2 linked regions of the Oryctolagus cuniculus genome follow. The protein of the gene in region 2 interacts with the protein of the main gene of each other region in a biochemical or structural test. Links are inferred from orthologs where the notes say so. Each region holds a gene or a part of one and is shown on either strand. Other genes may lie near its edges.

The links.
Region 1: of the proteins of PARP1 (region 2) and H1-5, one has a biochemical effect on the other in vitro, tested with the Homo sapiens proteins (2 studies listed by BioGRID). The link is inferred for Oryctolagus cuniculus from reciprocal best matches to the Homo sapiens genes PARP1 and H1-5.

Annotation. Positions count from the first base shown.
Region 1 is NC_091436.1:169,837,304-169,840,594, forward strand, and holds H1-5 (histone H1.5), read right to left. Parts: upstream 2,354-3,291; 5' UTR 2,298-2,353; coding exon 1,620-2,297; 3' UTR 539-1,619; downstream 1-538. UniProt on the Homo sapiens protein: Histone H1 protein binds to linker DNA between nucleosomes forming the macromolecular structure known as the chromatin fiber. Histones H1 are necessary for the condensation of nucleosome chains into higher-order structured fibers.
Region 2 is NC_091444.1:39,020,444-39,024,188, reverse strand, and holds the start of PARP1 (poly [ADP-ribose] polymerase 1), read right to left. Parts: upstream 2,358-3,745; 5' UTR 2,242-2,357; coding exon 2,122-2,241; intron 2,038-2,121; exon of another isoform or gene 1,326-2,037; intron 1-1,325. UniProt on the Homo sapiens protein: Poly-ADP-ribosyltransferase that mediates poly-ADP-ribosylation of proteins and plays a key role in DNA repair.

The DNA.
Region 1 (3,291 bases), on a different chromosome or scaffold from region 2:
ATACTAGTGAAAGTCCCATAAGCCAGCCATGATAGAGGAGACAGGCAATGCTGGTTAGAAATGGATTACAAAGGAAAAGGCAGTCTAGAAAGGATGTACACTTCTGAGACTCCTGAAGCATGAAGCCACAGGAAGCTCAATACCTACACGCACGGTGACGGTGTTGGGCAGTTTGCAGAACGTCGTTTCCACACCGATTAATTTAACGTCAAAGGCAAGATGCTCTGCCAGCCGGGACGCTGCGAGCCTGCACGTGAGGAAAGGCCTCCTGGCCTTTTGGTTTACAATTTCCCTTCTTACGGAAAACACAGTAAGGGGGAGTAGCGGGAAATGAAGCCTGGGGCCGATTCAGAGACGCAAAAGACGGAAAACGGCGACCAAGTGAAAACAGTAAACGCCGTCCCTTAAAGGGAAAGATTAACAGGAGCGTGAACGGGAGCTGGAACTCCAGATAGAGGAACCGCGCGGGAAAGGCATGGAGGCGGGGGGAGGCGAGAGGACCTCGGCCCCACAGGGACAGGCGTTCAGAGGCGCCGGCAGCCTGTAAATGGCGGGCCCAGCACCTGCGGTAGCGGCGAGGACCCACCCTCCCTCCCTAACTGGTGAGAAAAGGGGATTCATTGGGTTGAACTTCATTCTCCTTCTCGACTTCAGCATCACTAGTTCATCTTTGTGCCGATTAAAGCTAGGTCCCCGATGTCATGACGCCCGAGGCATAGGACTAGTGGCAGCCGTCGGGGTGCTCCTGCTGGTGTGCCTTGTATACGTACGTGGATGCGCCTGCACTGGCCCTTGGTGGTGAGCTAGCAGCCTAGCTCCTGGCAAGAGGGAGACGCAAAGACAAACCAGCCTACGGAGGGCGGCGAGAAGAGCCCGCCACGGCTCTTCATTTACGGGACGCTATGCACAGAACACAAGGCAGCTAGCTGTCCGCGACTGCGTCACATATGCGTCACCCAATCGAAGGCTCTACCCTACATCACCCTATTCCATTGGCCTAAATGAAAACAGCGCAGGAGCCAATCGCACGGCCACCTCTTCGCGCTCAGCAGAAGCAGCAACATAATCTACTTTCTACTTGCAGCTTTCGGCTGCGTGTTTAACTATGTCCGGACGCGGCAGGCAGAGGCGAGGTGCGCATCAAGGCCAAGACGCGGCATCCCGGGCCGGGTTGCAGTTCCCCGTGGGCCACGTGGACCGGCTGCTGCGCAAGGGCAACCGCGCGGAGCGGGGGGGGCGCCCGTGCACCTGGCGGCCGAGACCCTGGAGCTGGCGGGCTACGCAGTGCGCAACAAGACGCGCACCTGCAGTTACCATCCGCAACGAGCTTAAAGCTGCGCGTCGGCTTGTGCCCGCATCGAAGGCTCTTTTCAGAGCCATGGAAACCGCTCCTGGAGAGCCAACGTCCCCCGGGGCCAGGTGGCGAGGGCTACCCCCGACAGGCGAGTGGGGGGGGACACTACACTCCGTGGAATGGTAGGGCACTCGAAGCCCACATAGCTACGTGCGAGCCTGGCTGGACACGAGCGAAGGGTGGACAGACAGCTCTCTCCAGAGGTCTCTGGGTGGCTCTGAAAAGAGCCTTTGGGGCTTGGTCGGTGGCCAGACGGCGCAGCTTTTTACTTCTTCTTGGCGGCCGTCTTCTTGGCCTTCGCGGCCTTGGGCTTGGCGGCCTTGGGCTTGGGAGCCTTGGGCTTGGCGGCCTTCGGCTTCACAGCCTTGGGCTTGGCGGGGCTCTTGGCCGCCTTCTTGGGCTTGGCCGCAGCCTTGGCCTTCTTGGGGCTCTTGGCCACCTTCTTGACGGCCGCCGCCGCGGGCTTCTTGGCCTTCTTGGGCGTCTTCTTCACCGCCTTCTTGGCCCCCGCGGCCTTCTTGGGCTTCTTGGGGGTGGCGCCCGCGGGCTTCTTGGGCTTGGCCGCGCCCGCCTTCTTGGCCTTGGGCTTGGCCTCGCCAGACGCTGCCTTCTTGTTGAGCTTGAAGGAGCCCGAGGCGCCGGTGCCTTTGGTCTGCACCAGGGTGCCCTTGCTCACCAGGCTCTTGAGGCCCAGCTTGATGCGGCTGTTGTTCTTCTCCACGTCGTAGCCGCCCGCCGCCAGCGCCTTCTTGAGCGCGGCCAGCGAGAGCCCGTTGCGCTCCTTGGAGGCGGCCACGGCCTTGGTGATCAGCTCGGACACCGGGGGCCCGGCGGCCTTGCGCTTCGCCGCGCCCGCGCCCGGTTTCTTGGCCGCCTTCTTCTTGGCGGGGGACTTCTCGGCAGGCGCCGGAGCGGCGGTCTCGGCAGGAGCGGCTTCCGACATGGCGGCAGGAGTCGCTGCGGAGCCCAGAGCACAAGTTTTGGCGATGCCGCCTCGCTCGGGTCGGGGCTTATATAAGCCGGCGCTGCCTCGTGATTGGTGGAGCGTCCAATCCGCCGCCCTCGGGCCGCCGCCGCTCGAGGCTGCGTCTCCAGGTTGTGTTTGTTCGTCCCCGAAATTCGATTAAATGCAGAAAACATCGGCACGGAATTTGACGCTTAGGCGTTCCAAAGGAGGAAACCAGCCCCCAGGTTCACGGACTTGTTTGTGGGTTCGTCAACCGAGCGCAATGGAGGCGGGATATTCTTAAAAATCCCTGCGGCGTTTGGTGAGAACCCCTTGGGCTGACGGTATCCTGCTACTTAGTTGCAAGTTGCAATAAATTTCGAACAAGTATCCAGCGAACAGCGTTTAGAAGGGTTTATTCCTAGTGTCAGCCTTTGATTCCTAGAAGAGGAGCGGCGCTGGGTTCCTTGGTTTGGACGGAAACATTGTTTCTAGCTGTAGCAAGTAGCACAGGGAGTGCGCAGCTGGCTGTCTGCAGCCTCACGCCGGTCACACCGAACTGGCTGTAAAGACAGTTTATGGGGGCCGAGGAGGTCTTCAGGGAATGAGGTTTTCAGCTTGGGAAATCTGGGTTTTCAGAGCGATTGTTGCGAATAGCAACCGGAGGGTCAGAAAAGCCCTTGACTTTAGAATCCAACTCCTTGAAATCAAACTCTAAATTTTGTACATTTCCTAATTAGGATACTTACTTTAATTGCTGGTTTAAATCTATTAAAATAGACATGATATTTAACAGATAATTTGCATTACCAAAACAACCTCTCAAGTATGAAAAATGAACCAGGTCGCCTAGTAACCTAATAAGCGCACGAGTGCTTAAAGATGTAGGGTGATGTCTGGTCTCCGAAGCGTTCTTCCCAATGTCTGCACTGATTTCCGACAGCACTGCGTGAACTACATGATCACAAGTGCTCTTTTCTGTAAGCAGCCA
Region 2 (3,745 bases):
TTCAGAACTGAAACTCCCTAGTCTCTTTCCCTATCAAGGAGGGCCCAGTACCATTCAGCTTTATCGGGTTCAAGTTCCTCCTGGCTGACATTTCCACTAGAACAGAGTCCTCCAAGGCTGGCCCTTTCTAAAATATGCAAGCTCACAAAGGAAATGGATTCTACTGAAAAACAATCAAACATTAAAGTAAATTGGGATTACAGTAACTGATGCACTTTAAAGTTATAAATAGCCAGACCTAGAGCTCATGCTAATAGCTACTGTAATTTTGTCAAGATTTTGACATAGCCCCAGCCATAAAGCAGCATGAAAATATTATAATTACCAGTGGTGATAAAAATCATAGGTCTGGGATGGCGCTGCAGCACAGAGGGGTTAAGCTCCAGCCTGTGATGCTGGCATCCGTATCAGGGCACTGGTCTGAGAACCAGCTGCTCCACTTCTGATTTAGCTCCCCGCTAATGCATCTGGGAAAGCAGCAGATGATGGCCCACGTACAGGGGCCCCTGCCAACCACATGGGAAACCCAGTCAGAATTCCTGGCTTCAGCCTGGCCCAGATACTGCAGCCAATTGGGGAGTGAACCAGCAGACGGAAGATCTCGCTCTCCCTTGCACTCAGACTCTCTAACTCTGCCTCAGAAATAAACAAGGAGAAAATCCAGGTACTGTTACTATGCCTTTGCGTAGCTGCTTACAATCAGGATTAGAGGAAATAAGGTGTTTCACCTCGAGTTCAGGGAAAACAGAGATGTAAATTTTTTCTCATCTGAATGCAAGGACTTCTGGAGCCCAATGTCCCAGACACCAGGCACAGGACCCTTGCCAACTTTGAATAGGCTGTCTCCTGTACTCAGGGCAAACCCAAAGAACTTAGTGGGGGGGATAAGGCTCTCCCCGTGCTTCCAACTGTTAAGCCCCGGGTACTCCTCTATCCTCACCCCTCCCCCCCAGCCCTGTTCACCTCCGGCTGCTCTCCTGGAGCTCCATCTCGTGTCACCCACTTCCTCACAGCTCCCGAGGGTGGATTTTCCTTGCGTCACTAGACCCTAACACAGGGCCTAGAACTTACCAGGTACTCAGTACACGTCCATTGGAGGAACAGTACTGGGGCTGTGTGCCAGGTACTGCGCCGGGGGAGGCTCTGGGGATTCCAAGAGGGCAGCCTCAGCCCCCGACAGGCTGTGAAATCAGGCAACGCAGGCAGAGCCGGCACTTGGGACCCACTTGGTCCATGTGTCCCGCTCTGGTGCCCTGTTCAGTACTGAGAAGCCTATGGAGGAGCTGGCCAAGCACCCCTAAAAAGCACCGCAGAAGCCAAATTACCTGGGCCCTGAGCACTAAGCCAGGGTAGAATCTTTCCGTTGAAGGTGACAATCTTTCCGTGGCAGGTGAGAATCAGGATCGAAAAGGCACACTGGCAGGGGCCAGTCCCAACCCCCCAGCTGCCCATCTCTGAACCTCTGCGAACAACATCAGAGGATCCCCAATCGATCAAAAAGTCCAGATGACCACTCGAAATAGCCGCAAATGCAGCAAAAGAATGAGTGTGTGAATCTGGAAAGTTTGGGGAAAATACCTTAAAACCACAAATCAGGCCCAAAACGAACGCACTACACAAAAATGCCACTGCCCTGCACAGGTTTCGCATAATTAGGATTCAAAATACGACAGCGGCTGTTGCAAGGGGAGCCAAAATTAGTTTAAGAAACGAAAAAAATCCCCACCAGCCAGTCTGGCTGGGAGACGTAGGCCAAAAACCTTGGAGAACAAGGCAGGTCAAAAATCAGAGCCGCTTCAGAAGGTCCGGCACACGTTTTCCTCGCCCTGAGGCCAACAGCAGTAAAATAAGAACTCCTGCACCGCCCAAAAACCAGAGAAGCGGCTCCTTATGGCGACGAGCGCGTAAGGAATCACCCGCTACCGGGTCTGTTTCCCGGGTTTTTCATGCTGGATGAGCGGACCTCCCGGAAGGGTCCACCAGGTGGGCCGCACGCCGCACCGGGAGCCGCAGCAGCGCCCACAGGCCCTGCGCGCCGCCCCGAGGCCCCCGCGGGCCCCCGGAGGGGCCCTCCGCCCTCCCACGCCGTGCCGCCCACAAAACGGCCCGCGCCGCCCGCACCTGCACCATGATGGCCATCCGGAGCGAGTCCTTGGGGATGCTCTCGCTGCATTTCTTGCAGGAGGCGCGCCCGCTCTTGGCGTATTCCACTCGGTAGAGCTTGTCCGAAGACTCCGCCATCCTCCAGCTCTCGCTCACCCTGGCCCCCGGAGCCCGCCGACACCGCCGCCGACGCCGCCTCGCCGCCCCGCGCGCGCGCGCCGCCCACCCGTGCGCCGCCCGCAGACGCCCGAGCGCCTAGGGCCGCCCCTGAGCACGCCGCGCCGACCGCCGCCGTCGCTCGCCGATAGATTGCTGATGCCTGGCCGCGGGCACGCCCCCGGCGCCGGCGTTCAAGGGGCGGGCAGCTAGCGCGCGCCCCTCGCTGGCCGCAGGAGCCGCCGTTTCCCAGACGCCCGCGGGGCGTCTGCGGGGCGGGCCGCGTGTGCGGTTCTAGCTCCTCCAGCGGCTGCCGGGGGCCGGGGCGGGGCTTGGAGCGCGCCACCTCTTTAACTGTTTTATCCGGGGTAGGCTGACGCATTCTCGCCTCGAATTCTGCCCCGACCCGTTTTGAGAAGGTGCCCTCTGGGATCCGAGAAGGCAAGGGGCTGGCTAGGAAACGTTGGCCCGGCCCTGGGCAGGCATGCGAATTTGCAGCCCCAAGACGGCTGGGACCGAACAGCCTCGGAAGTGTATTTTCCTTGGTTCTGGCCTAGAAATGCAGGACGCAGCTCCCGGGAGGATTAGCCACGTGCAGTGGTGCAGAGCGAGCGCTCTAAACATTAAGCTCCTCGCTAACTTGAAATTGTGGTAATTGCTAGACCTGTCGCCACTAGGTCGGATTTAATCTAGAACTATGTTTAAAAAAAAAAAAAAAAAAAAAAAAACTACCGCTGGCTGGCGCCGTGGCTCACTAGGCTAATGCTCCGCCTTGCGGCGCCGGCACACCGGGTTCTAGTCCCGGTCGGGGCACCGGATTCTGTCCCGGTTGCCCCTCTTCCAGGCCAGCTCTCTGCTGTGGCCAGGGAGTGCAGTGGAGGATGGCCCAAGTGCTTGGGCCCTGCACCCACATGGGAGACCAGGAGAAGCACCTGGCTCCTGGCTTCGATCAGCGCGGTGCGCCGGCCGCAGTGGCCATTGGAGGGTGAACCAACGGCAAAGGAAGACCTTTCTTTCTCTCTCACTGTCCTCTCTGCCTGTCAAAAAAATAAATAAATAAATAAACCCAATGATTCTTTAAAAAGAAATCCCGTGCATGTTATTCACTTAAAACATTGTAACATAAGCGTGCTGTATGTATGAATATTCAGTTATGCTTACAGAGGACAAGAAAAGACAGGATGAAGGCAACTGGATAGAGTTAAGCATAAAGAAGGAAGCTAGTAGCTTGAGAATCTTGGGTGTTTAGTAGGCTGGGAGACATGGGCATAAGTTACACACTAGATGACAGAGGCCCAAGCATTTGGGTTATCTTCTGCTGCCTCCCAGGTACATTAAGGGGAAGCTGGATCAGAAGCAGAGTAGCAGAGTCTTAAATTGGCACACTGAGATGGATGCCCACCTTGCGATGGGCAGTTTAACCTGTTGTACCATGACACTGGCCCTAGTCTATCATATATTGTTGTCATCTTTGTTGAAAATCAAT